Linked DNA regions of Sus scrofa. The protein of the gene in region 2 interacts with the protein of the main gene of each other region in a pairwise test. Links are inferred from orthologs where the notes say so. Each region holds a gene or a part of one and is shown on either strand. Other genes may lie near its edges.

Evidence for each region.
Region 1: the proteins of RBM41 (region 2) and RALYL interact in binary tests that used the Homo sapiens proteins (3 or more experiments, as listed by UniProt). The two-hybrid records come from large-scale screens. The link is inferred for Sus scrofa from reciprocal best matches to the Homo sapiens genes RBM41 and RALYL.

The regions. Positions count from the first base shown.
Region 1 is NC_010446.5:52,550,243-52,565,959, forward strand, and holds the start of RALYL (RNA-binding Raly-like protein), read right to left. Parts: upstream 9,418-15,717; 5' UTR 8,959-9,417; exon of another isoform or gene 8,104-8,958; intron 7,878-8,103; exon of another isoform or gene 7,777-7,877; intron 7,754-7,776; exon of another isoform or gene 7,528-7,753; intron 1-7,527.
Region 2 is NC_010461.5:87,563,581-87,578,717, forward strand, and holds the start of RBM41 (RNA-binding protein 41), read right to left. Parts: upstream 11,539-15,137; 5' UTR 11,459-11,538; coding exon 11,451-11,458; intron 7,963-11,450; coding exon 7,846-7,962; intron 7,001-7,845; coding exon 6,808-7,000; intron 6,597-6,807; coding exon 6,392-6,596; intron 4,514-6,391; coding exon 4,442-4,513; intron 1-4,441. UniProt on the Homo sapiens protein: May bind RNA.

The DNA.
Region 1 (15,717 bases), on a different chromosome or scaffold from region 2:
ATTACTATGGACTTATAAAAATTACTTTATTCAATGTTTGACCATCTGTTACAGTCAATCTTGCTGGAGTAGGGCAGTGAAAGAAGGTGACCACTGGTTGAAATTCAAGCTAAACCCAGACAATCAGAGGATTCCTACCTGGAATATATATTCAGCCACTTCCAAGACTCAGCCTTGAGAGAACCATGCCTTATTGAGAGCATCTGGATTGGATATGTGACTGAATCCCATTAAGGCCTCTATACAGGGATCCTCCTCCTCGCTGTTACTAAAGACCTACAGTACTACCTGCTTTCACTAATTGAAAGAAATCCAAAGAGGATTTCCGTTTTATGAATAAAAGCAAGAAGTGAAAACAGCATTCATTATTTTGCATCAAGCCTTTCAGAGGCAGCACTCACTAGAGCATCAGGAGTGGCACTACCAAGCTCCTTCCTGGAACCTACACTCAGCATCTCAGCACAAAGCCTCCATACCTTTAACTGTGTCTGTGAGCATCTGTGATTTATCTTGAATTATTTTGTGCGTCTGTTAACAAGATATGTCCTAGGTCATTGCTTCTTCACTTTACGTCATTTTGTCTTATGAAAGGTTTCACAGGAACACTCCATTTTCAGACAGCAGGGGAAACCTGAATAAACTTTATATGATTTCAGTGGGTGATTACAGAAACCTGCTGGTCTTACAGCTGCCTAAGACAAGACTTGTATATAAGTTGCCTTGATTATTAAAATTGACAAGTACCAAGCTGAAGTAGTCTGCTTCTTTTTCTGTTCTCTCCTGGCCCTGCCTGTATAGAGACCAGTTTGAAATTTCACCTGAGGGTGCAAAACAACAACCATGGATGTTCAAATTTATCTGAATTTGGCACCTGGGAGGCCCTTGAAGCTAGCTCCCATTTAGTTACAGTTTACAAATAAAGTTTATACAACCTTATTTGTCTGGGGGCAATTTTTCACTTCCTGGCACAATGAGAGATCACAGGCTCATCTTATATTTTTTCCTGCCCAGACTTAGAATCAGCAAATTCTCCAGAGAGTTTGGTCCCCTTGAGTGGAATATGGTATTTAGAAACCATGACTTAAGCAATAAATGTGCTCATTGCTGCTAGAAAGACACTGCATGGAAGCCTTTTAAAGAGAGAGCTGATAAATACATTTTTAAAAGATATACAGTATATGTTAATACCTGATGGCTTAGCTCACTCTTTGTCCTTCCTTTTCTAATTTTTCCTAGATATTCTTTTTTATCCTCTAGAGGTAACTTAAAATCAATTTACCTTATTTCAGAAAAACATCTTACTGGTCTTGCTATTTAGATTATGTTACAGGTACACAAGCATGCATGAGCACGTGCACATGCACACACGCACAGGGATGTGGTACATACAGTCTTGGAAACTGACTTCTTTATGATGTGATCATACCATGTCCAGAATCATGGAGTACGTCTTCAGTTTCAAGTCTAATATGTCTCATTCATTTAGTTTCCTCTTAAGATTAATGGATTTTAATCACAAATTCAAGGACTTTTTTCTCAGGAGTCTCCTTCCTTCAAGTCTATGAAGTATTAGACTTGTTGAGCAACACTCTTCTCTCAGGCATACACTTTCCCAGGCTCCGCTGACTATCTTCCTTTTTCTGTCTGCCTTTAACTAGATCCTTTTATATCCAATCAGAAAAATGCAGGTGTTTTTCAAAGGTTTGCCTCTTAATTTTTTTTTTTTTTCTGTCTCTTTGTCTTTTTTAGAGCCGCACCCATGGCATATGGAAGTTCCCAGGCTAGGGGTCTAATCGGAGCTGTAGCCGCCGGCCTACACCAGAGCCACAGCAATGCCAGATATCAGCCGTGTCTGCAACCTACACCACAGCTCATGGCAAAGCTGGATCCTTAACCCACTGAGCGAAGCCAGGGATCAAACTCGAAACCTCATGGTTCCCAGTCAGATTCTTTTCTGCTGCACCATGACAGGAACTCCTGCCTCCTAAGTTTTTAACATAAATAATTTTGTTACATCTTTTTAAGCCCTTCAGTGTGCTTTCCAGCTCTACACCTGAATTTCAATTGCACATTGGTCATTTCATCCAGGTTAATGTTGGGACTTCAAATTAGTGGTATGTCCAAAACTGAACCACTCTCCCTCACCCAACCAAACCAGGCCCTCTTCTGGATATTTTTATGTCCTCTTGTTTTGTTTCATAGCCTTGATTTTCAAAATTCCAAAAGAGCTCTTAATAGTCTCTCCACCTTGGCCTCCAAATCAAATTATTTTATGGACTCATAGATTTATCATCATCGTTGAAATCCATTTCATCATGTTTATTCACACTGCCTCTACTATATTTTATCAGTCTTTATTGAAAAATATTCATTTTTTCAAGTTCTAAGGAAACTAATAATGGAATACCTTTTTCCACACATCTGAAGATGCAATTAAAAACAGCATCCTAATATAACATATTGTAGTTCTATGTGTTTTCTGTCATTAACAGATAAAAATGAGCCGGAAAAATGTCACATCTCAATATACGTAACAGTGAAATTCTGAGGAAGGGATAATGCTGATAGTGAGATGCTGGTAGACAGAAGAGACACCTATATTTATAGATTTGCTGTGTTATGAAGGAATTAGGTATTCAGCTTTCTTTGTGCAACTGGATTATTTTCCACATCACACTTTTGCAAAGGCTTCAAGAGTAGACATCACATTTTGTAAGAAGTAAATATTTGTTGAGTGCTTTTCCCACAGCCTCTGCAAACCCACTGTGGACAAAGAACCATCTGTTTTGCCCTGACCACAAAGCACTGGTGGCCCCTCACAAATTTCCATGTATTGGGTCTCTTCAGAGAAGCCTATGGTCCAGGAGAGATGTGTGATAATATGGTTACTTGCAGGCCCTTTTAGCACCAGTAAGTAGGTAAATGATACCATTTTCTGTTCTGGCCATAGCACTCAATAGTAAAAAAAACTTGCCAAAATACAGTCATTTTAAATAACATACCAAGAATAAATACACAGTGGTTGTTTTATACTAGGTAAAAGAAAACAAATAAAATTTCAGCTCCATGAATGGAAAGAGGGACATGAAGTGTCAATTCAGATATGCCTATCATTTGTCCCTTTACTACCTGCGGAGCCTTGACAAATTACAGATCTCTCCAAGTCTCAGATTCCCCTAAAATATAAAATCATAATGATATCAACTACTTATGGAGGGGAAGGACAAATGAAAGTGCATTCATCTGACACATCAATAAATGTTAAGTCCTACTTTCCTTTCCTTTTCCTAATGATTTAATGGGACAAAAATAGACTTTCCCTACTCCTGCTTGTGAACAGTTTCCAAACTAACTCAAAAATATGTTGCTCTGTTACAATTTAGCATATGGCTACCAAAATGTGTATAAATATTTTCTCTAAACACATGGATTATGTATGAATGTAATTAATTTCCACTGTTAAAGTTTAGACAAAATGTCCAACTATATTATCTAAGCAAAAAATATATATATACTCTTTATCGATGAGTCAACTGTAATTTCATGAAACATATTAATACACAAAAAAATCTCTAGTTTTTCTTTAGTACGAAGGTGCACAGCGATGCATTCCATTGCATCTTTCAGAAAAGCAGGATAGGGTTCCCGTGATCTCCACTATAATTCTCCTCTCCATTTAGATTTAATGGAGAGGCTCAAGAAATAAATCTCACAGTCCTGACCCCAGCTGAGGAGTCTCCAAGGACAGTCCAGAAGACATTTATCCTAAACACTAACTGAAGTTCTCCCACTGCCCTCTCTGTGGCTAAGAATGGATAGAAAAAGGAAATCGATACCTCTCTGTTTTCTAGAACGCAGTCTCAAAATAACTGCATTAATACATAAATTAAAAAACCTTTAAATTTATGGGAGAATTTAAAAATTTAAAATCAACTTTGCACAATGTAAGTTTGCTATTAAACATAAGTCTAACATGCAACAAAAAAAATTCCCCAATATTTTCTTGAAAATCTAAAATGCTACCTGAATAAGCAAAATTACTAAAAGTTGGCAATAGCTGGGTTAGATATATGTATTCCACACGTCAAAATGTAATAGTAAAAAAAAGAAAAGTGATGGCAAATATTTATATAACACTTGCTAAATGTGTAACTAGTTTTTGGTAACTTTAGAAATGAGACTATTACTTAAATTTTACTTAATAATCAGTGTTTTCAAAACCAGGGTATAGCAAAACTAACTGTCCTCACCGTCACTAATGTGAAAGTTTGTTGCCACTGTGAATTACTGAAATTTATTAAATTAAAAAGTCATACTGAATTATGAATATGGGATTATAAATGCATTTTTGCATGTCACTAGAAGTAGAAAATCATAATAATAACAATGAAATAATTAGAAATTAATAACAACTTCAGACCAGTGAGGAATTTTTTTAATTTAGGTTTTAATTTCTTTCCAGAGCTACATAAACAACTTGAAGAAGAAATTTCATCATTACCTCAGGTTTTTATACACAAAACGGAATTTTCTTAATGGCTATGTGATAAAAGAAGTGAAGAAAATAGCTGTATTTTTTAAAGTCACAGCTAATTACTTAAAAATAAAATTTTCAAAAGTCAGAGAGAATAAATCAATTTTAATGAAAATATTTTCAAAACCCATTTAATTATGCAAACAATTCTAAACATCCACTTCACTTCTGTTCTACTTCCAATGTAGTTTTATTTGACTTGATATATTGCCTAATTGACTACTTACAATATCAGTAAACAGTAACCAAAGCATGACCACACTCTTACTCAAATCAAATGCTTTCAAGAATGCAACAGACATAGGAGCTTTTCCACATACTTCTTACTAGCTGCTTTAAAAAAAGAAAAACTATTTTATTTAAGAAACAATTGTCCAAATAGCACAAGTATCTTCTAACTAGGAAAATATAATTTTTGGTATATCAAATGTATGTGCATTAATTTTCTATTCCATTATTTTCAAATCCTAATGGCATCATTGGGTTGCATAAATGTGGTAGCTCCTTTAACCATTACCATTTCATAAAAATTAAAGAAAATAAACTATTGGGTTTTTTTGAAAGGATAATATATCATTTGTAGTTAAGAATATAAAAAGTGCCTTTATAGGTACGTGTTTGAAACTTCTCCCCTTTATGTATAACCCATCACAGAATGGCTGCTTGATGCAGACTAAGAAAAAAAATCAGTGTGCTACTTGCTTGCTAATAATCATGTGTGGATAAATATATGAAATAATCAAATGTTTATTTTTCATGATTAAAATTTCTTCATTTAAAAATTCTTGAACAGACCACACACTCAAGACAGAACTCCAGCTAAGATTTTCTTTCTCTACCATGTTCAAGACTGGGACAGAAAATGTACAATTAATCAGTAATCCAGGATTTTTCAAAATGTCCAAATTTTGGCATCCCATTGAAAAGCTGCAGTAAATTTAATAGGCTGTTTTAAATTTGAGACTACTTCCTCATTACATTCAGATTATAAAATCAACTAACAGTCTAGGAACCAATTTAATTTACATGTCTTCTTTCCTTCAGCTTCTACCTTCACTCCAAACCCTCTTTCCCAGCAGATTTTATTTCCTCTCAGTAAGCAATTAAAAGTAATCTGCATGATTAAGTTTATCAAAATCAGAGTAGGTGGCTTGTAGAATTTAACAATACTATTTTCCCATGATAAACCAGTAGGCGGTGCTAACTCTAGGATACTACTTTCAAAGATTTTAAACCAAAACACTCACAGAATAGGTGACCAATTTAAAGAGCTGTAGAATTCTCAATATAATTTGAGCAGGAGAAAATTTCAAAGTTCCATTGCAGCAGATAGAAATTTAACAGAAGTATGTAATATAATGATCAACATTAAATGGAAACCTAATATAATTAAAGGTTTTCAGCATGATCTTTGTTTACAAAATTTAATGTGCAGCTACATATCTGCTCCCACTTGAAATCCTGTGGACATCTTCTTCCACCCCACTATGGTTTCAAGCCCACTTGGAAATATACAGTACCATCTGTGCTCTTACCAACCAGTCTTAACACACAGCTACGCCCATTTTAGGGCCGCAAGAGAGCCTGTTAATGAAAATTCTGGTTTCTTTCTCACTCACTGTGTTTCTCTCTTTTAAAAGAACTAAAGGACTTACAGTGCATACATCCTTCAAAGAAATATTAGACGTGTATTGTCTTGCGTTTTTAAATAAATGAGCATTTCTATTTATATACATTATTTTCTAACAGTGATTTTTAAAAACTCACAGAATGTTGCAAGTGGCTTCTTAAATGTTTTTGCTAGCTGTTTAAACCATACGAAAGACTACATTTTACTAGAGTGCTTACCACCACCACAACAAAAAAAACAAAATTTAAAGCTTAGTTACATAATATATGCATCAAATCTTAGAACCATGCCCTTCAGGATATCAAGTCTGGTGATCCACACACAGGACAGAAACTATCTTCCTGACATAAATGCAACAGGACTTTCTTAACAGATAAAAGCTACCCTGAGCAGGAAAGTAAATCACACTGCTACTTCCAAAGACCTCTGAAATGAGAGAGAATACTGTGAATTAAAAAATATATATAGCCTTCTAGATATTGCAATAAATTTTAATCTTCTACAGATTAATTATCACTTGCACTCCCTCTCTCCCCACAAAGAGTAAAGAAACACAGACATAAAACTTCACAAACTGAGCTTACAGACAAATATTTGCTTGAAAAAGACACTGTATATTATTAAAATGTTTGTCATGGGCCCTTCTCTATGTTGAATTTAGTGTTTTATGTCTATACATAACCTAGAAGAAAACTTAATCTGAGAAGTAAAAGTTATTTCACCTGCCTTATTTAACAGAATTCAAATTACACAAAGCTTCAGAATCAAATCATTTAAATAACTGCCTCCAGACTTAAGATTTAAAGTACAACACAAAATTTATTTGGACAGCAAGTTTGCCAGCAGATTTTCACTGCGTTAAGTACATAAATGGCTTTTTACTACCAAAAAGTAGTACCAGATTATTTTATTTACCTTCAAAAAGTAGTACCAGATTATACTGGAAATGTAACAGGACAATCATAAAATGTCTTAAACTCCATAGAAAGCATTCAACATTGAGTACTATGTTATGCTACCAACACACTGAAATCTATCACCACCGTCACCAACTCCTACCCCTGTCCTGTGCCACGTCTCAGGGGAAAAGCTTTGTAACCACCATCAGGTGGTTAAAAAGAGGGAAAACACATCGTGCTTTTAATGCTCAACCTTACGGATGTAGTCTCACCAATGCAAACTGTTTTGTCCTCAACATTAAATCCAACTGACCATCACAGAAAGTAGATATCTTCCCCCACCCTGGAAGACGCCAGGCACTTAAAACCAAAGCAACACAAAAGGGAAAGAAAAGATCCAAAGACAGCACCATTAAAAAGGCGAAACCCTTCCGAACAAGAAAAACAGGCTGGCAAAGACCTACTGCGTTGTTTACTCAAGGCAAAGAAGAGGAGCGGGAGTTGAGCGTGCGGGGGTTGGTGCCATCCTCAGGGATCTGGAAAGGTCTCAAGCACCCCGGGTCCCCTGGCTAGGACCCAGCCCCTTCGGAAGAACTGCCCCTGCCGCTTCTCCCACAGTCTCCCCGGCGCTCCGATGGGCCGCCCCAGCCGGCTCGCGCAGCGTCCTTGGCCCTCACCCCTTCTGCTCTTCAAGTGGCCCTCGGAGAACTTACAGGGCCCGCCGGCTCCTGTGTCCCCGGCCGGCGCCGCCCGGGGCGCAGACGCCGCCCGCTGCGGAGATGACCAGGGCGCAGCCGAGGGAGGGACAGTATTTTGCGCACATACAAAAACCAGCCCCAGGCCGGGGACGGACTTTGGTTTCCCCTAGCTCCCCTCACGGTTTTCCCCACCGCGGGCTCGGACCCTGCCCGAGCCGCGCGCGCGCACACACGCGCATAAACACACAAAAACACACACACGCGCACACACACACAGATTTCTTTGCCAAGACCAGTGTTGCCATTGCAAACCCGGGAAACGCCTCCAAGGGGACCAAGTACCTGCTCTCTGCGAGCTGCTCAGCTGTTCACTTCATCCTCCGTTGACAAGGAAACCAAACCGCACTTCATTTTTTTTTTTTTCCAGAAAAACCTTCCACTGCCATCATTTGAAAATTGATTTACGGGGAGGGGAGGGGGAGGAAGAAGGGATAATATAGATATCAGGATATCTATCATAAAATTATCTCGGTCTTTTAAAAAAAGTCAGATGTGCAAAAGTCACAGTTAATTTAAAGGAGGAAAAAAGTATTTGCTTAAAAATCATCCCAGGCACCAGCTGCAAGAAAAGTTTCATGTTATCAATGGGTAGCAAAAACAGGAGGTAAAAAAAACCAATTTGTTCTCACCGGCTTCCAAAAAGGGCACAAAAAATAGAAAATTAATGTATTTGCTCAGTGGTTTGTACCAGGTACCAGTATTGCAAAACCACAAACTTGTAAACACTGCCGTAAAATCCCACCTATACAAAAAAATCTTATCAGAAAAAGAGTATGCCAAAAAAAGAGTTAGAAACATGCTTTTTATTTTTTACAAAGGAAAAAAAAATAGGCACCATACTTCACATCGCTTTTTCCTTAAAACCAGTTGCATATTTTGCTGGACTTGGGAGTCGCTCCCAGCGGGCACGGTCGCCGCGACTCCCAGACACAGCGCCTTGTCTACAGAACCATCGCATGCTATAAAAACTTGGATTCAGGAAAAGGCTCAAAACCATGCTCCTCCAGCTTTCCCAAATATAAACAATAATCAAAGAAGTGGAAAAAAAAGAAGAAAAAAAACAAAAAAACAAAAACAAAAAAAGGACAAAAAAAAAGAAGAAGAAGAGGACAAGAATGCCACTGAGAAGGTACTCACCGAGCGGGAGTAAAATGTTGGAATAAAAATGAGATTTAGGATAAAATACAGTATGGCGGTGGAAGAAGGAATGAAGCGCGTTTTTTTCTCTCAGTCTCTGCCTCAGGCACTGACACGTGACTCGGAGCAAAGCTGACTTGCCGGCAGCGGGGAAGGACCGAGGCTGCGAGGGGGGAAGCCCCACGGAGCCCAACTCAGGCTGGCAAGGCGACGGCGGCGGCAACGGGGAGCTCAAGCGCCTGTGAGCGGCAGCACCAGAGGCGGCAAGCAGCGGCAGCTCCGGGCGAGGCTGCCTCTACTGAGAGCCTAGACGAGCAGGTGCCCCTCACGCTGAGGCTGAGCACACGCACACGCACACGCAAGACAGGCAGGGCGCCGGCGAGAGGGGGAGCCGAGCAGGGCTGGGCCGGAGGCGCGCAGCTGCCGCTGGTACTGCTGCTGTTGCTGATGCTGCTGCTGCTTCTACAGCGGCCGCCGCCTCCGATGCGGAGCGCGTGTTCTGGGGCAGCTGGGGGGATGCTGATCAAACGCCTGGGAGGAGGTGAACAACTTGCTGCTCACCTCAAACTTGTTGTTGTTGGCCACTTCCTTATGCATTCATCTATTTTTCATCTCGGGGTAGTTACCTGGGGAGAGATCCCATCCCTTTCTTTCCTGAAGTTTCACTGTTAAAGCCCGGTTGAACTCATTCATTTTTCCTCCAAATTTCCCATTTCTCATCCCTCTTAAACTGCCTTGGCCTCTGCCGTTCCCTCCCCCAACACCTGCGCTTCCCCCTCTCGGTTCTCAGGGAACCTGGCTCAGCGCGCTACGGGGGGCGTTGTCACCGGCGAAGCCACTGTCAATCTTTACTGCCAACAGAATTCACAGCATTTCTTGCTGTCATCAGACAGGAATGCTTGCAGTTTGAAAGGCGAAACATCTCTCATTTATGCAACCCCGTCCCGGGTTTCTTTCTTCGGGTTGCAGAGCGATGGGTGGGGGCGTGGGGGTCGTTAATTTATTCATTGGTGGACCAGGCATTGTTTGTTTTGTCCGCGTGTGCGCGCGTGCTTCCAAGCTCCTCTGGAAGACTCCGCGGGTCCCTGCTCCCTTGCAGAGGCTCCTGACTGACTCTTGCCCAAGTTATGGGCTGGGGCTGGAAGTCAAAAGAGAGGTGCAAGGGAAGCAAGTCAGTCCATTGTGTAAGTGCTCCCTGGGAGGGAGTGAGCACCTAGCGGTCGAGAGGGGGAGACGTGCACCGGGAGTGAGGCGGCGGCGCAGCCCGCGGGAGCCCAGGTGGCTTAGCTGTGGATTCTGAAGGTGAGGGTGAGAGGAATTTCTCCACCTGGCATCTGGTTTGGGATGCCTATCGCCTGAACAAAGATTCCATAAGCCAATCACTGGATGCAGTGGGATTCTTCTTTTGCTGCCTGTTCAAGTATCAGTTTTCTGGGCGCTGGAAAATATCTATTCTTCATTTTTGTGCAATACTAGTATCAGGACCATTTCCCTCTGCTGCTTTGAATCTGGGTTGTGTGGAATTAATTGGCATCTCTGTGTTTGAGAATGAGCAATTAACACAGTTCTGCAGTTCACAGATTGCTGCCCCTGATCGTTATCTCAGTGTTTCCAATGTTGACATTTACGATAAAACGCCTCCGTCGGAGATGATCTCACCTGGACATTTCTGAAAATTAAGTACACATCCATTACAGAGAGCTTCAACAGCAAAGATGTTTCTCAAGCATTCTGGTCAGAATTCATTGACCAAATAAAGTATTAATCCACAATTTAAATAAAAGATTTAAAATAACCATTAAAAGATTAAATATTTATTTTGGTGAGTTGCCAACTCTACACCCACTTATTACACGTACTTTAAAGTGAGGGTTGCTAATTAGAAATACTGAAAGGGATGAATGCATCAAAGGGGATTTGGTAATTTTAGAAGGCTTGTTGAGCTCTATTCCAAAATGACAGGATTTTAAACTGGATAATGTAAATCATATGTTGTGCTTTCACTTGTAAAATACATTGGGTGTCTTTAAAAAAAAAAATTAGATCTCTCCAAATATGGTCTTTTTCTTCTCTGAGTCATGAATTTTTTTTTTCCATTAAAAGATGTTTGCTAATTTTTCCAAAATTTTTTTCCCAAGTTAAAAAATACATGATTCTAATCATTTAGTAAGGAAATATTCCTTTAGTGAATGTTATTTTTACAGCAGTAGTCAAATGTAAGAAACTCCACTTTAAAAGTAAGTTTTGAACCCTTCATGTAGACTGGGCAATGCCTAGGTTTTAAAGAGTTATTCAGGAAGAATTTTGAAAAACAAGCTGTTTAGAATTACACTGCAGTAATGGCTGTCAGCCAATCACAGTGATTGTCAAGCTTTTATTATTCAATAAAATGACTCCCCTTTATGTAAAATGCAGTTCTGCTAAAGAACAAGCAAGACATCAATATCCTGCCTGCCTTTCCTCATTTATTTATGTAATTACAATAAGGTGCTCAAGTTATTCCATTTATTTTATTTCCAATATGCCATTTTCATCTTTTCAGTTCCATCAACAAGGTGAAAACCAAAAGTAAACAAAGTTAGACCAAGAGAAGTAGTATTTATTGAGCATAGCCTCTCATTTAGTTCTTGTTGCTGTTCTATGAAACTGATACTCTTATACTCATTTTACAGATTAGGAAAATAAAGCCAAAGGATTTAAGTAATTTGTCAAGCTTTACACTGTTAGAATTAGAGGTGGGACTGGACCAAAATTTTATCTGGTTTTATAGCTAGAATAAAAGAACCTTCCTAAAAATACATGAAAGATACTAAATATTTTCAAATATTGCTACTGATGCCAATTAATAAATGCACAATAGTGTAAATTAAGTAAGTAGATCTAAAATAAATTTGTGGCTATATATTCCCCAGTTAGTAGTATACATTTTCATTTATTTTTTGATTTCATAAAACACTTGGAGTAGGACACAAAACTTCAAAAGCAGGAATGAAGGGGTTAATTTTTTCTTTAACAAAAATCTTTACAGAAAAATGTGGTCAAGTACTCCCTGGTCACATCCTTAGGGGTTAACTGTAGGCTTTTTAAAGCAAAATTACAATTGTGAACTGTGCCCTTTGATATCCTTTCTCTTTTTTTTTTTTTTTCTTGATCTTTTAGAGCCTCACCAGCAGCACATGGAGGTTCTCAGGCTAGGATTCAATTGGAGCTGTAGCCCCTGGCCTAGGCCACAGCCACAGCAATGTGGGATCTGAGCCGTATCTACGACCTACACCACAGCTCACAGTGACATGGGATCCTTAGCCCACTGAGCAAGAACCAGGGATCCAACCCACAACCTCATGGATACTGGTTCGGTTCATTAACCGATGAGCCATGAAGGGAACTCCTGCTATCCTTCCTGAAGTAAACTATGGAAGATTCATGATTGAAATATATACTAAAATGTATACTAAGTTTAAGGTAAGATAAATAAGTAATTATTAAAGAAAAATCTATTTTGAAATCTGTGCTACATAATCTCAATGTTTTCCCATTAGAAAATATTGAACTTACATAAATTATATGTGCATACATATATCTTACATATAAATACACACTTAGAAATTATACATTACAATACCATGGTTGCAATTCACACTTTAACTGTTCAATGCCCTCAAATCATTTTCTCCTTTTTTTTGCTTAATAAATTTTTTCACATCTGAGTAATTTTAATCTTTGAGTACTTTTACTTTTTCATTATATATCCAATTCCTGCCCAAGAACGTATTCACTTATGCGTCTCATTCAAATTTGAATGATATCCTTCATTTTGCCTATACTTCTATTGGAGGAACTGCATATACCTAAACTCATCAAGTAATTTATACAAGTTATCAAAGAAAGTGATTAAAAGATAGGAAAATATATAGTAACAATAGAATATGGCCTGAGTAAAATAGAGAAGAAAGAACTATCAAAATTTCTGTGTAAGAAAAGAAAGTCATGGAATTGGAGAATATTTGTGGTTACCAAGGGAGAAGGGAAGGGAGTGGGATGGACCGGGAGTGTGGGGTTAATAGATGCAGACTCTTGCCTTCTCGATGGTTTAGCAATGGGATCCTGCTGTGTAGCACTGGAAACTATCTCGTCACTTACAATGGAACATGTAATGTGAGGAAAAAGAATGCATACAGGTATGTGTAACTGGGTCACCATGCTGTACAGTAGAAAAAAAATAATAAAAGGTTAAAAAAAATTTCTGTGTAACAATTTTTAATGTTTGTTTCATTCTTCACATATATTATGGAATCCAAAAAATTCAGATCTATAGAATAAAATACATATCAAAGTGTCGTGATTTATATACATTCATAATTATTTACATAATAATTTAAAATAAATTAATGTCAATTAATATTCTTACATTGAATGTGTTTATTCTGCATTAAGTAGTTTGAGTGTAGATCTACGATAAAGTGACCTCCAGCAAAAGTGACAGAGTGTATACACAAGAAAGCCCTGATGAGTTGCCTGATTAATACACTTAGGCACAGAGAGGAAAAAGAGCAGCACATGACATGTTCAGTGTTCTGCACCATTTGTTATAATTCATTGATTACTGATCTGACAATCACTCACTCTTAAGAGGATATAAAATATGTCAGTTTATAAATTTAGAAACTGCAAATTTATCCACAATATCTCTTTAGATTTGAAAAGTTAGAGATGAAAATGTGAAAATCCTAGAGCCAGAATTAGGCCTCTGAAAAGGTTATTAAAGGCTAAAAATATTAAGTTAATTTTAAAATATTTTATTGTATTATACATAATACATTATATATAATATATAATAAGTACGTAATATGTAGTATACATCATATATCATATATACTACATTATATATAATAAACCTTTTATTAGTATAAGCATACAAAGAGCCTGAAAGGAACAAAAAAAGAAGGGGACTTTTGCAAAACAAAACAAAATGCAAGTAAGAAACATCATAAATGGAAAAGATGCACCATTTAATAACTGCTTACTATGTTTTAGTAGCTTGACATATGCATTGTCATAAAATCCTCATAATTAGAAATTGAGATTCTAAAAGACTCTGCTCAGGGACAGTGAAAAATGGAACAGAAGTGCTTTCATATTTAGGGAGCTATCCAAAGATCATGCAAAGGGAAAAGTAAATTTAATGACAAAGTGCTATCACTACAGAAAAGAAATTGAGATTATGACTATGGGTGGAGGGCAGCAGGGGAAGAGAATACAGAGGAGAAAAAGGGATGGGGAGAGAGACGAATAGAAAAGAAGGAAGAAAGGAAGCAAAGACAGGGGGAGGAAAAAAGGGGGGTAAATTTTGAGACCCAGAGCATGGATGGGGAACCTGGAAAACTCCCACCATATACATGAGAAATGTAAGACAAATGCAAACACTGGACAGATTTGGGTCACACAGATGAGTCCTAAAAGACATGCGACAAAAAAAAAAAAAATACATTAGAAAAATATTGCAGACTTTACAATACGTTTCTTCGGTGAAACAAAATATTGCCTGAAATATCCAGAAAACAATCTTGCTGAGGCTAACAAAACTCTGTACCAGAAGAAGTAACATTTTTTTTTTTTAATAGAGAGAGAGAAAACCAGAGAGAGCTAGCTTTTTTTGTGTTTAAAAGTCAAGAGATTTGCTTATCATCTGACCCAGAATGTCAACAGAAGACAGTATGGTTTCATTGGGAAATTAATTTTGCCTAAGGAGAAGAATCTTGCGGATGTACCAGAAGAAAAAAAGATCTTTTTACTGTCTATTCACAAGATCTTAAATTCAGAGGCACAATGTAGCTCCTTTATTCACACTGATATAATTGTATAATTATAGTTATGATTCTCCTGTTGATTTTTTAAATCTTTGTTTACTTGTTTCAATTTTTAAAACCTTGGGCTTAAAGATTATCTGGATTTTAAGTTTCAATATTCATTTAACTTCTGAACTTTTTTTTGAGGTAGGGGTTATTCATTTGCTGTTGGTTTAAGTACTATAGCATTCAGGAGATGAAGGCATGAGATTAATTGGTTATTATTAAGTCTTGGGTTCCTGCCACTTTTAATTTCCATGAAATCTAGTAAGTTCTTTATTTATATTAATATGAGGCTTACATTTGAAAACAAAATTTTTCTAGAAATGAAATTGAGTTTTTACAAGCCAGATAAGTGTAGTAAAATAATTTTATGCTGATATAGGACAATATACACTGCAAGCCTCTTACTACAGAACTGAACACTTAAATAATCAATATTTGCTCATGTATATTTTTTGTACTAATAAATGTGTGAATAGACCTTTGATTAAAAAAAATTATCATAGGGAGTTCCCTTCATGGCTCAGTGGTTAATGAATCTGACTAGGAACCATGAGGTTGTGGGTTAGATCCCTGGCCTTACTCAGCGGGTTAAGGATCCGGCGTTGCTGTGAGCTGTGGTATAGGTTGCAGAGGTGGCTTGCTTAGATCCCACATTGCTGTGGCTCTGGCATAGGCCGGCAGCTACAGCTCTGATTAGACTCCTAGCCTGGGAACCTCCCTATGCCGCAGGAGAGGCCCCAAAAAAGGCAAAAAGACCAAAAAAAAAAAATGATTATAGGAATAACTAAATCTAATTTGTGGCATGTATAGATCTGTCTGTATTTTCCAGATTCCTTTTACCATTTCACTGAAACAACAAACAGGATGTTTTTACATAACTTTTCTATCTTATATTCTTAATTTCTTC
Region 2 (15,137 bases):
TGAGGGGAAGTTACAGAGATTTCCCATATACTCTTGTCTCCACACATGCTTAGCCTCCCTCATTATTGATAGTTCCCACCAGAGTGGAACATTTGTTACAATTAAGGAACCTACACTGACACATCGTAATTACCCAAAGTCTATAGTTTACATTACCATTTACTCTTGACATTCTATGAGTTTGGACAAATTTTTATCGTTTCTTAAAGTGGGAGTTTGGGTTATAAGTTTTGAGATTTTTCTTCTTTATCAATATGGACATTTACAGCTTTAAATAGGCTCCCTAAGTACTGCCTCTACTGCGTTCCTTAAGTTTTGGTATGTTTTGTTTTCATTCATCTCAAAATACTTTCTTTCTTTTTTTTTTTTTTTTTTGTCTTTTTTTTGCCTGTGCTACGGCCCGCTCCTGCAGTATATGGAGGTTCCTAGGCTAGGGGTCCAATCAGAGCTGTAGCCGCCAGCCTACGTCAGAGCCACAGCAATGCCAGATCCGAACCGCATCTGCAACCTACACTACAGCTCACAGCAACGCCGGATCGTTAACCCACTGAGCAAGGCCAGGGACCGAACCTGCAACCTCATGGTTCCTAGTCAGATTCGTTAACCACTGAGCCACAACGGGAACTCCTCAAAATACTTTCTAACAACCCTTCTGACTTCTTTTTGGTCCTTTGGAATATTCAGTAAAGTTTTACAATTCCCACATAATTTGTAAATTTCCTAAATGTCATGCCCCAGTGAATAGAAATGGCGAGAGTGGACATTCTTCTCTTATTCCTGGTATTGGGAGGAAGATTTCAATTGTTCACCAATAATTATGATGTTAATTATTAACACAAACACATGGCCAATTCATTTCTGACAAAATGCAAAGTCAGGAGTTCCCATTGTGGTGCAGCAGAAATGAATCCAACTAGTAACCATGAAGTTGTGGGATCGATCCCTGGCCTTGCTCAATGGGTTAAGGATCTGGCATTGCCACGAGCTGTGGTGTAGGTCACATGTGGGATCGATCCCTGGCCTTGCTCAATGGGTTAAGGATCGGCATTGCCGAGAGCTGTGGTGTAGGTCACAGATGCAGCTCGGATCTGTGTTACTGTGACTGTGGCATTGGCAGCTGCAGTTCCTATTTGACCCCTAGCCTGGGAACCTCCGTATGCTGTGGGTAAAGCCCTAAAAACCAAAAAAAAAAAAAAAAAAAAAAAAAGCAAAGGCAAGTAAATGGAGAATGAATACTCTTTTTAGCAATTCACACCAGAATAATAATACTCAATAGTTAAAAAAGTGAACCTTGATGTAAACCTCATACCTTATGTAAACATTAAGTCAAAATGGATCATAGAGCTAAATGTAAAACATACAACTATAAAACTGTTAGAAGAAAATAAGGGAATCAATCTTTTTTCATAATCTGGTGTTAGAGCTCTTAGACCAAAAAAAAAAATCCATAAAAGAAAATATGGATTTAGATCATATCAAAATTTAAAATATTTGCTCTGAAAGAAAAAAACTGTACAATTAAAACTACAGAATGTTGCTGAAAGACATTAAAGACACAAATAAATGCAAAGATATTCTATGCTCATGGATTGAAGACTTAATATCATTAAGATGTCAGTACTATCCCAAGTGACCTACAGATTCAAAGCAGTCCTTTCAAAATCCCAATGATGTGTTTTGCAGAAATAGAAAAATCCATCCTAAAATTCATATGGAATCTCAGGGGACCCAAACGGTGAAAACAATCTTGAAAAATAAGAACAAAGTTGGAGGTCTCATACTTTCTGATTTCAAAAGTTACTACAAATCTATACTAGTTAAAACAGTGTGGTACTGGCATAAAGACAGACATATATACCAACAGAATAGAATGGAGAGCCTGGAAATATACTTTTATAGCCAAATGATTTTCAGAGTGTGCTAAGACCATTCAATGGGAAAAGGCAGTCTTTTCAATAAGTAGTACTGCAAAAACTGGGTACCGACATGCAAAAAATGAAGCTGGACCCTTACTTTATATTACATACGAACTTAACTCAAAATGGATCAGAGACCTAAACATAAGAACTAAAACTATAAAACTCTCCAAAGATAACATAGGAAAAAAAGCATTATGACATTAGATTTGGCAATGACTTATTAGAATAACACCTAAAGCACAGGGAACAAAAAAATTGAAAAATTGGACTTTATCAAAAATAAAAACTTTTTTTGTAAATCAACCATACTTTAATAAAAAATATGTGCATCAAAAAATTAAAATAAAAAATTAAAAAAAATAAAAACTGTTGTGCATCAAAGGACACTATCAGTAGAGTAAGAAGGCAACCCATAGGACTGGAGAAAATATTTATGAATCATATATCTGATAAGGGGTTAATATCCAGAAATATATAAAGAACTCCTACAACTCAACAACAAATAAACAACCCATTTAAAAAAATGGGCAAAAGATTGAGACACCCTTGTACCTTGCTGGTATGAATCTAAAATGGTATAGCCGCTGCAGAAAGCAGTATGGAGGTTCCTCAAAAGATTAAACGTAGAATTACCATACGATTCAGCAATTCCACTTCTGGGTATATATTCTAAAGAACTGAAAGCAGGAACTCAAACAGATAGTTATACACCCAGGTTCATAGCAGCATTATTCACAATAGCTAAAAGGTAGAAGCAACACAAGGGTCTATTGACAGATGAATGGATAAACACAATGTGGCAGATAAATACAATGGAATATTCTTTATCCTTAGAGTAATTCTGACACATTCTACAACATGGATGACCTTGAAGACATTATGCTAGGTGAAATAAGCCAGACACAAAAGAACAAATACTATATGATTCCACTTACATGAGATATATAGAGTTGTCAAATTCATAAAGAGAGAAAGCAGAATGAATGGTGGTCGGCAGGAGATGAGGGGAGGGGAGAATGGGGAATTCGTGTTTAATAAGTACAGAGTTTCAGTTTGGGAAGATGAAAAAGTTCTGGAGATGGATGATGGTGATGGTTGCAGAACAATGTGAGTATACTTAATGCTACAGAGAACAGGACACTTAAAAATAGTTATAAGGGTCAATTTCATGTTAGGTATAATTCACCACAATAAAACAAGTTTGCTCTGCAAAAGACACTGTTGAAAAGATAAACTGCATACTTGCAAATCATATATCCAACAGAACCGTGTTTAGAATATATAAAGAACTCTCAAAAGTCATCAGGAGAAAATAACAACTCAAAAAACAGCAAAAGATTTGAACAGACACTTCAGCAAACAGGATATAAGGATGGCACATAAGCATATGAGAAGATGTTCAATATCATTAGCCATTAAAGAAATGCAAATTAAAACTACAATGAAATACCACTTCACAGCTATTAGAATAACTAAAATAAATACCAACAATACCAAATGCTGACAAAGATGTAGAGCAACTGGAACTCTCATACATTGCTGGTGAGAATGCAAAATGGTTCAGCCACTCTGGAAAATGGTTTGGCAGTTTCTGATAAAGTTAAACAAACACTTACCATATGACCCAGTAATCCCACTCCTAGATATTTACCTTAGAGAAATAAAAATTTTATGTTCACACAAAGCCTGTACAAGAATATTCATATCAGTATTATTCATAATCACCATAACCTGGAAACAGCCCAAATGCACCTGAATGGGTGAATGGACAGACAAACTTTGGAACATCCATACAATGGAATGCTACTCAGCAAAATGAATGGACTACTGATAGAAACAACTTGGATGAATCTCAAAGGCGTTGTGCTGAATGAAAGAAGCTACTCTCAAAAGATTACGTATTGTATGATTCCATTTATATGACATTCTCTAAAAGACAAAACCACAGTTATGGAGAGTAGATCAGTGATTGCCAGAGATTATGGGTGGAGGCGGGGTGACTATCAATGGAGAGTATGAGGGAGTTTTAGGGTGATGGAGCTGTTCTCTATCCTGATTGTGGTGGTGGTTACATGAATCTACGTGATTTACACGATTTACAATTCACAGAATTGTACACACCCCCTCCCCCCCCAAAACAGGCAATTTTATTATAAGTTCATTTCAAAACTAAAATATCAGCTATTATAGCATCATCATCAATAGTTATATTTTACTGACTAACAAAAATATTCAGAGTTAGTTATGAAATAGGATCTAAAATTCATTTAGGTCACTTTAGGTCTGGTATAATAACTTAAAGGTATAGCGAGAAAAATCGACAACACTAAATGTAAAAGCTTTACAACTTCTACTAACTCCTCTCTTTCATATTCTGTATCAGGATAATATGCTCCCTGTGGATCAGGTCCTATAAACATTGTCATATACTGAATATGGAATCAAATAAGAACTCAACTTAGAAGTCTGGGACCCTAGGTTACATTCCTAAATCTAACACTGTAAGAAAACTCTCGACTTGCCTTTTGTGCCTAATTTTATCTTCCTCTTCATTGAGGTCATGTACTTGTCTGCACTTGTCTTTTTGTGGTATGCTGTGAAGGTTTAAAGCAAGGAGTTTCAAAGACAGGAAACACAACAGATTCACACACCACCCACCCACCCCAAACACCAGCTACTGCTTTAAGTGATTTACATGTATTACCTCTCTGAATCCTCCTAGCAATCCTATAATACAGCTATTAATATTCTCATTTTCCAGATGAAGAAAATCAAGTGTACAGTGGTAACTTGCCCTACATCTTAGAGCTAGTAAGTGGGGAGCCAGGATGTTCCCAGGAATCTGCCTCAAGAGCCCAGGTTCTTAATCAGTATGCCATAACGTCTCTCCACCAAAGGCTGTGGGTTCATTCTTTTGGTTCTTCCTTCACCACTGCTCTTCCATGACTATGATGTCTCTGTCTCTCATTAGAGTCATTCATTCATTCTGTTGGCTTTACCTATTGTCTGAGCACAGATGAGTCCCAATTCTATTAGTTCTGCCCTCTCTCCCAAGCTTCACTACTGCCTTTCCAACAGCCTCCTCAATATCTGCATCTGATGATCCTGCCAGTCTCCCAAATTCAACATGTTTAAAATCAAATTCATCATCTTTCCTCCAAAGTTCCTCATAAAGTCTTTCTTAATTTTGCCAACTGTTAGGTCATACAGCCTTGAAACACCTGGGTTATTATCTCTGAAACATTCCTCTCCACTGACCTTCATTCTCAGACCACAGGTTTTACCAATTCTTCTTTTGTAATGTCTCCTATAACCATACCCACTTCTCTTTCCAATTCCATTGCCATCATCCTAGTCCAGCTCTTCCTGCCGAAATGACCGTGACACCTCCTACATCTTTCTCCCTGCTTTCAGTTCCTCTTGTGCATCCTCTTTACTGGCCACTAAACTAATCATTTTCAAATACTGTTTTCATCTTATTTACTCCTGTGGCGCAAAGACCTTTAACCATATCCAAAACGACTAACTGAATAACTAACTCGGTATCGGTCTATACTAGACTACCTGCCAAAATAAAGTTCAAAATTTTTAGCCCCTCTTCTAATCTTGTTTCTCTTGACACCTTCAAACATGCCACAGTGCTTGCAACATCTGCTACAAGTGAATTGCCTTTCCCTCTCCTTTCTGCAGACTTGGTAGTATTCAAAGAATATTCAAATCTTACCTCCTCTGAGAGGCCATCTTCAGTCATGCCAATGCACAGTGGCCTTTCCTTCCTCTGAACTCCTACAGCATTTAGCAACTGGATCTAGCATTGTCATTAAATGTTATATGTTTCTCTCGCCAACAAGACAGCGATTGGCACAGAGTCAGGAGCCATTTCTTAAACTTCTGCACACCTTTCACAGTGCCTAGCAAAACTTGTCTGTTAAACTCATTCTTTCCGGATGAGACACACACCATTTATCTATATTTTTTGTGCTCATTTCTAGTTCAGCCTTCACAATCTAGCCTCGCCTGCTTTTCCAGTATTATCACCTGTCAGTCCTCACCAGGTCCTATACTTCCCACCACACTGAACTGTACGTTGTTCCCTAGACACACCAGGTTCATTCACACTCCTGTTCCTACTCGCCCACTATCGGGGATGCCCTCTCCCCCTTATTTACCTGACAATGCCTGTTGGTCTGTCAAGACTTGGTACAAATGTCAACTCCTGACTCCCTCAACCAGACTTAAATGTTCTACATCCTCTGTCCCCTCAGCATTTTAGCCACATCTCTACAAGAGCAATTTCCATGCTGTACTGCAACTATGTATATATTTGTCTTTCTCACTGGACTATACATTCCTCAAGAGTAGTGATCGTTTGTCTTTCCCCTACTCGCTTCGCTAACTCTTCACAGTTAATGCCCTGATGTTAAATCTTTCTGTCAGTGAAAGGACGTATTGAGTCAGTGGCGACCACATACCTTGGTAATAAAGAGCCTTGAGGAAGGAGTGACGATCAGCTCCCTGAAATAAAGAATTTTCTATTTCCATTTCTCGCCGGGTCAGCTGTTTGCTTTTTGCAAATCTCTGTGGCAGGCAAAGGATGCGCTGACGTTCTGAGATCCTTTCTTCAATGTCTTGCAGACGGTTCTGTATTGCTTCAGGGGTTGCCCTAAGTTTTGTCCTCTGAAAGCAGAGAAATGAGATGGCATATATCACATCAGACACACCCTGAAAGTGAAGATCTGATACTGTAAACAAGAAAGAAAATGACCAGGGCCCAGAAACGGCCATTTAGACATGTTAGTGAAGAAGTCAAGGAGCAGAGGAAAAGGTTCTTGGTACCAAATGAAGAGATCTCAGGTTTTAGTCTCCAGGAAAAAACTGGCCCACTCACCTTTTCACCTGAAACATGGCTCTTCCAGATCAAGATTTCTGTTTCATTGAGTCCTAGTTCCCTGAGAGAAGCAGTCTCTTGGTCCTTCTCATGCAGAGTCTGGAACTGGGACAAAGTCATAGTCCCAGCTGCTTCCTTTCCAAAGGGTTTGTACATAGTACCAGGAGCAAAGCTCTCCTTCTTAGATACGCATCTGCAAAACAAGCAGGAAGAGAGTAAGAACATCTTCAAGTTACCACGATTCACCGAAATGGGGCTCCCCATTAAGAGGAACAAATGAAACCCAGCAGCAATTTCTCCCTCACGTTCTATTTCTAGGCTGAAGCACTACTGCAACGGTGTGAAACTCCCTTAACAGTCCCTCTGCTCTGGGACTAACAAACGACTGAATCAAACATTTACTTATTGAGAACCTACTATGCTTTAGACACTGTGCTAGGTACAGAAGATTTAACAGTAAAAAAAAGATAAACGCTTTCTGTTTTTGTGGAAGAACTGTGGAAGAGAGACAACTAAACAGGGATGATACGGGATTATAAGAGCTATGTATGTTAAAGGAAGATGCAGGAAAGGTACTTAGCCCAGACTGAGTGGGATATGGGAGGCTTCCTAGAGGAAGACACAGAAGTAAAACTCTGCCTAATAAGAAGTTTTCCAAGGAGTTCCCTTCGTGGCACAGTGGTTAATGAATCCAACTAGGAATCATAAGGTTGCAGGTTCGATCCCTGCCCTTGCTCAGCGGGTTAAGGATCCAGCGTTGCTGTGAGCTGTGGTGTAGGTCACAGATGTGGCTCGGATCCTGCATTGCTGTGGCTGTGGTGTAAGCTGGTGGCTACAGCTCGGATTAGACCCCTAGCCTGGGAACTTCCATGTGCCGTGGGAGTGGCCCTAGAAAAAGGCAAAAAGACAAAAAAAAAAAAAAAGTTTGCCAAGAAAAGGGAGGTGAGAGAGGAGTGTTCCATCCAGGCTTTATGAGGCATCTGTCACCTGCAGGTGAGGGTCTGTGATACTCTACCTGTTTGCAAAATCAATACTTACTCCTCGATGGAGACAGAGGTATCAAGTTGATGCTGAAGGAGGCTTTTCAGCTGCCTCTCCCCTTCTGTTTCCAGCTCCTCCAGGACATGCTCGTCGCTCTTCACACAGCTATTGACCCTGGGGTAGATATAACAATATACATGGAAAATAGAAGAGACAGTAAATCTCAAAATACATTCTTTATCTATATTATCTACCATTAGTAGGGATCTCATTTGTTCAAAGACACTTTTTTTCTTTTTCTTTTTTGCTTTTTAGGGTCGTACCCGCGGCACACAGAAGTTCCGAGGCTAGGGGTCAAATCAGAGCTGCAGCTGCCAGCCTACACCACAGCCACAGCAATGGGGGATCTGAGCCACGTCTGCAACCTATACCACAGCTCATGGCAACGCCAGATTGCTGACCCACTGAGGAAGGCAAGGGATTGAACCTGCATCCCCATGGATATTAGTCAGATTTGTTTCCACTGCACCACGACTGGAACTCCCAACACTTTTCTATTTGTTGTTTTTTATTATTCATTCCACAAACATTAGCTAAACAACCTGCAGGCAGTGAATGCCCTTTGCTAGGTACTGATGGAGTCAAAGATATTCAAGACATAGGCCCTATCCTCAAGAAACTTGTAATTTATTCAGGGAGAGGTAATAGAAATGTTTGTGTTGTGTGCATGTGGGGGAGGGCAGAGAGGGAGGGAGAGAGAGGAGGAGGAAGGAGAGGGAAAAGAACAGGGCTAGACAGAGGGACAGAGGGAGAAGGAGAAAGAAGATATAAAGAAGCATATGCCAAATCAGTAGGCGTTCACAGAAGAAAGAGATTATTGGGAGGCAACATAGTAAATGAAAACTTGGGAAAGGTAATTCTTAACCCTGGCATTTGAAGGATTGGGTGTGATGAAGGAGGGAATGGGGAGAGTGAGTATGGAGGGACAGAAATATGTTCTGGGGCAGATAATGAGAAGCTCAATTTAGCTGGCATTCATGTAAGGGGGCAATGCCAGATGATGCTGGGAGGGTAATTAGACTCAGACTGTGAATGGCCTTAAACACACACCATCTAAGAGGCCTGGACCTTAATGTGCAGTATTAGAAGTAATTTATTATGCAGTTAAGTGACGTGGTACAAGTGATAGTTTAGGAATATGAATGTGGTTATAATACGCCTTATAGATTAGTAAGAAAGAAACCAGAAGAACTAGTTAGGAAACTATTTAAATTTATCAAGCATAAGGTGATAAAAGTCCAAACTGGAGTGGTGATAGTAGAAATGGAAAGGAAGGTTTAGATGAGAAAGGCCTTTTGAAGGTGGAGGTAAGGGAGAAATGAAAGATAACCCCGAATTTTAAGCTATACAACTGAGAGATGTTTTAGCCGTGTTGAGTTAACTATCTATTACAAGACCAGCATGAAATATCAGGAATGCTTCAACTGAGTCTGAGGTGACAGTATGTGACACTGGCTAAAGGAAACAGACATACGACAATTATTGCATAGATGAGAGTCGAGGCTGCACATGGAAATCTTGAGTCATCTGTGCTGCCAGGATCTGGAATTGTGAGAGAGGAGATCACCAAAGGAGAGAGTAGAGAAATAAAAGTGAGGGGGCTCATAACATTTTATAGCTTAAGCATTACTGTGTGGAAATCTAGGAAATGCTAATTAGATCTAGCAAACCCTAAATAATTAAACACTCTGAGTGTAAAGAAATAGCAGGAGGGAATTCCCATCATGGCTCAGTGGAAACGAATCTGACCAGCATCCATGAGGACATAGGTTTGATCCCTGGCCTCCCTCAGTGGGTAAAGGATCCAGCGTTGCCGTGAGCTGTGGTGTAGGCTGCAGACATGGCTTGGATCCTGCATTGCTGTGGCTGTGGCAGAGGACAGCAGCTACAGTTCCCAATCCTAGCCTGGGAAGCTCCATATGCCGTGGGCATGGCCCTAAAAAGACAAAAAAAAAAAAAAAAAAAAGGAAAAGAAAAGAAAAGAAGTAGCAAGGCCATTTAGGTGTGCAACAACAGATTATAAAAGACAAAAATAAAATGAGTTAACTCCTTGAGGAAAAATAAATATTAATCTTCCTTAAAAAATAGCCATTTACTGTTGGGGTTATGATGAGCCCTAGAAGATGTATAAGCAAGATTCCCATATTCTAGAAAGACTTATACCCACTTTGGGAAATTTTTAAATAACCATAGGCTTAGGGTTTTCAAAATTCCTTTTAATTATCTTAATTTTTACTTATTATTTAGAATTCTGAAAGTTTTTGCTAGTTTAAAGTGCCTTTGAAATGAATAAACCAGAGCTAAATACATCAGTACACATGAATTTCAAAAAGAAATGATGAGTGAAAAAAAAAATCGTCACAGAAAAACTCATACAATTATTTGTCTAAATAGAGTCGAAAATTGAATACCACTAGCAGCATTTTGTTCAGATATAAATTCATATGTAGTAAATCTATTTAAAAAGAAAAAAGCAAGGAGATAATTAACACGAAATACTAGATAGCGATTCTCCTCAGTGAGGGAAGAAAAACACTCAGGGGCAGGCACCCTGGGGACTCCTGATACTGACAGTGTGCCAAGGATACTGTATCAATCATACTGCTGTATCAGTTGACACAGTATCTATGATACATGATACTGATAATGTTCTATTTCTAAAGCTTTTAACGGGTACAAGCCTATTCTTATTTAACAACCTGTATATACACATTATTTTGCATGTATGAGTATATCATAAACGTTTAAAAACGTCATTTTGAAATGCAAGGATAATCAGAATTTTTTTAAAAAGATGCTGAAACTGACAGTGCAGGAAATCACTATACCGGTAAGAATTTAAATGTACCACCCTACTCCAGAGTGATTATTCTACTTGCAGAGTGAATACAAAACTAATTTAAGGAGGATCCTTTAAAAAGGCTTTGTGTAGGTCAATAGTAAGCTCAGGCTTTCAACAATGACCAGCCACGTTAAAGCTGCCATTTCCTGCAGAACCGGTAGGGGGAACTGCTCGCAACAATGCTTTTCTTTTCCGATAGTACATGGAACGGGTTTGATACTTTGCTTCTAAATTTGTAGAAACAAAGTACCACTTGCTTACTTTAAGATCTGAAAGCGCTACATGCTCTCCGAGCCCGAGCAAGTTCTCTTTAACACACAAACACTGCAAACAAATGCGCCCTGAGCCCCTCTCTGAGGATGGGGTGGAGGTAGGGCGGGACAGGGAGGGGTCGGCCCATGTTTCTCAGGCGCTGACCAGTTTCATCAGTCAGGCAAGACCCTTTTACCTCGGTGGGTCCCTCTGAAACGGGAAGAAGCCACAGCATCTGTCCAGCTCCCGGGGCCGGCGCCGTGGCCTAGGCTCCTGTACCGGGAGGGCATCCCTACGGGGACCGGAGGCAGCGGCGGCCCTTCCTGAACTTCGCCCCACAGGCCCGTCCAGCCCATCTCCCCTTTTCCCTCCTCCTTTGTCTTCCCGCTCACTCGAAACCCCTTCCCCATAATGTGACATACCCCAAACCCAAAGTAACAAAGCCATTTGAAAAGTTAAAAGGTAGAACAGAGCGCCCTTCACCTCCAGCTCTCAGACAAGCCCTTACCTCTTCATGTTTCCACAGGCCCCTAGCTCTAACTTGGGTAAATAGGCCGCGGACTTCAAGTCCCAGAAATCTGCGCGGCCGACTCCAAGGGGATTGTGGTGGAGCGCGGGACTCTGGGAATTGTAGTCTGCAGCGCTAATAAGCGAATGAGGATGTATTGAGCATTGAGCAACTGGTGTATTCTAGAATTTCTCATGTAGGATAAATGCAACAACCAAAATATCCAGCTTATAAATCTAGGAGTCGCCTTTGACTTCTTGATTCTCATCCAGTATCACCAAATCCTGGCCCCTCTAACTTCCCTCGAATGTGTTCCTATTAATCTTGCCTCTGCTTTCAAGGTGTGGGTATGTGACTGTGGCTGTGTGCGCGCGCCAAATTAGTCACAACAACATTGTTTCTAATAGAATATTGCAAACTTAAATAACCAGGAATATTATACATCCATTGAACAGAAAACTACGCAGCAGTCCCACAGATGACAAAGTTCTCCATGGACTGCTACTGCACAATCTCTAAAATGTATTTAGTGCAAAAACCAAGTACAGAACAATGCATATAGGATGCTTCCATTTGAGTTTTTTTAAAAAGGAATTTATGGACGTTCCCGTAGTGGCACAGTGGAAACGAATCCGACTAGGAACCATGAGGTTGCAGGTTGGATCCCTGGCCTCACTCAGTGGGTTAAGGATCTGGCATTGCCATGAGCTGTAGTGTAGATCACAGATGCAGCTCGGATCTGGCATTGCTGATGCTCTGGCATAGGCCGGCAGCTACAGATCCAATTCGACCCCTAGCCTCGGAACCTCCATATGCCACGAGTGCGCCCTTAAAAAAGACAAAAGACAAAAAAAAACGGAATTTATTCATGTGTTTGCTTATATATACAATATCTCTTGGAAAACATATTGACAAGTGGTAAGTAAATGACTCCAGGTAGAGGAACTGGATGGTGAGGGGTAAGAATGGGAAAAACTTTTCACTCTATCTTCTAGTATCCTTTGAAATTTGAACTACATGATTATATTACCTAATTAATATTTTGTTAAAGAGAACCTTTGTTATATCACGAAGAGCCAAAGAAGAAAAAGATCATGGGTTTGAGGGGGTCACAGCTTGGATTCTCAGTTCCCACAATTATTGACAATAACCGTAGGCAATCTGGACTTGAACTTTAGCTTTGGCAAGTTACAAGATTATGTCATTAAGTTTCTTTAACTGGTCTAGGCCAGTTTCTTCAACTGTAAAATGGGGATAATTCCTCAGAATAGGGTGCTTATAAAGCACCACACAAAAGAATGGTTTTAAAATCACTTTGAAGGGTGGTCATCTATGAGCAAATATTCCAAGTTTATCCAGTAGGTTTAGCTTTATTAAAACTGACTGTACTACAGCACACAAATTAAGAGGATAAGACCAAAGAGCAGCTGCTGGAAGACATTGTACTTCCTATGCCGAGAATTTCTAACAGACGAGAATGTCATGGAAAATATTAGTTTTTCAAAACCTGTCATATGAAAATAACTGCTCTTGAAGCACACAGATGAATGGATGCAGCTCTAATACGTACCACTTTGTGGCTTTGGTGCAGAACAGGGACGAATGTAAGCAAAAACAAAGTGTGGGTCATACCAGGTAAATCCTATATGGTGGTGGGGCTGGATTCTGCTGCTCAACCAAACTGTCCAATTGACACATTGGTCAACAAGGAAATGGAAAAATACAGCAAGGTTGCTGGTGTGCCTGTCCCCTGGGAAGGTGTCAAAGGGTGAAACAAATACTACACTGACCCCCACACCAGACTTGTATACAACTTCTAAAAATACATCTTATTGGTACTGAGGTGATACACACTACATTACAAATCCACTAGGTGGGATGAGTGGAGAATGAATGGCTAAAAATACATATATGGGGTAGAATTACAACTAAAAAGCAAGGTCATAAGGAAGTACTCTAAACCTGTGTATAACTGTAGCCAGTCTGAGTGGTAGGTACCAAGGGACAAGAATTCAGAAAATTGCACTAGAAGGAAAACCAGGTTATTTCTAGCTCTGCCAAATTTATTAACTGTGGAATAGTTATTCCGCTTCCCACAGCATCCCTCTCTCCACTTCAAAAGGATGTCAGACGGTATATAAAAAGCTTTGCGATTTCTAGATGTTATTCATGGGCACAGAGATCTTACCACAAGGTAATTTCACAATTTCACCCCAGAAGAATTTATGACAAACTGAAAAATATGCCTCATTTGTCTTTCTGACAATTTAACAAGGTTAGCTTAATTAAGCCAGAAGTTCCTCCTTAACATAGACATATTTTCAGGCTTTGTCCTTTTTAGGTGCTTTGTTCACAGCACACTTCTGATGAATACATTATGAAGCAATTATAATTTCCAGATATGAAAGAAGATGCGAAAACCAAAAATCGTCTCTTGAAGACGGATAGCATCACTCAGGAAATATTAAGAGTAAACAACTGTGCATGTCTTTCAAATTCCCCAAATGAGATAGCATAAATGCTGTTATAGGGAGAATAAATATAGCATCTTTTTCAAAGGACAAAAAAAGTAGATAAGCACTGCAGAAGTGTCAGCACGACACATTTAAGAATTTTCCTTCAGCTACTATCTTAGCTGGTCTTCGACAATGGTTAGTCAAGACTCCAGTCCCTAACATAAAGGTTGCCTTAAAATTACTGGTAAGAAAAGGTTATTATTTCTGATATTTTAATTCGTATTTGTTCAACAATGTCTTTTGGACACACGTTAGGACCAGAGTGAGAATGAACTTTAAAGACAAGTTAGTCCAGGGCTCCAGATTCCAAATAGTACAGTGAGAGCTCCCAGGAAACCTACAATGTTACCGTACCGATCTGGAAGCCACTTGCCATCCACCTGTCTCTTCTATGGCCTGGGGGGAAAAAAAAAACAACACTAGAACTTCCAATGCAAAGTCAATAGTCTTTTCTTTCTTTATTTTACTGAGGAACTTTAAGCATGTACTGGTAGTGAAAAGACAAAGGAATCACAAAACTTCAGAGAAATGAAAACTAGTTTCTTCTACTTGGGAAAACCTTAATATGGTCCAACTCTTTCATGTTATGGGCAAAAGATAAGGCTCCAAATGAAATTATTTGTCCCGTTAATTAAGCAGGGACAAGAATAAATCCAGTGTTTCCTCCTACATACTATGTTCTTTTTACTGAATGTGGAACTTAATGTGTGCAGAGACTACAAGAGTTGAATCTCCAGACACAATAGGGAAAATGTTTTTGTCTGGGTTATAATAGTAGTAATACTGGATTCAAAATTAGAGATTACTCAAGATTATATTCAAAAGCTGTTTACCTACAGAAATCACCCATAAAATTAAACAGTCTCATATTTTATAATTTTAAGAGGTAACAATAACTTACCTGATTAGAAGCTGCTACTTTGAGAAGTGTGGGTAGGAAAAACAGGGGCCATGTAAGTTCTGATATTTGGTTCACTTGTAAAGTGATATAAATCACTGATACTCATTTCTAAAATATTTTCTTTCTGTAATATGTACCCCTAAGGATGGTCATGATCAGTCAGTACAAAAGAAATTCAGCTCAGTAATTATGGGTAACTAAGCTCTCGTCACTCAACAACTTTTAAGGAGTTTATTTTAGTGTTATACTTTCATTTTTCAGGGCATCGCC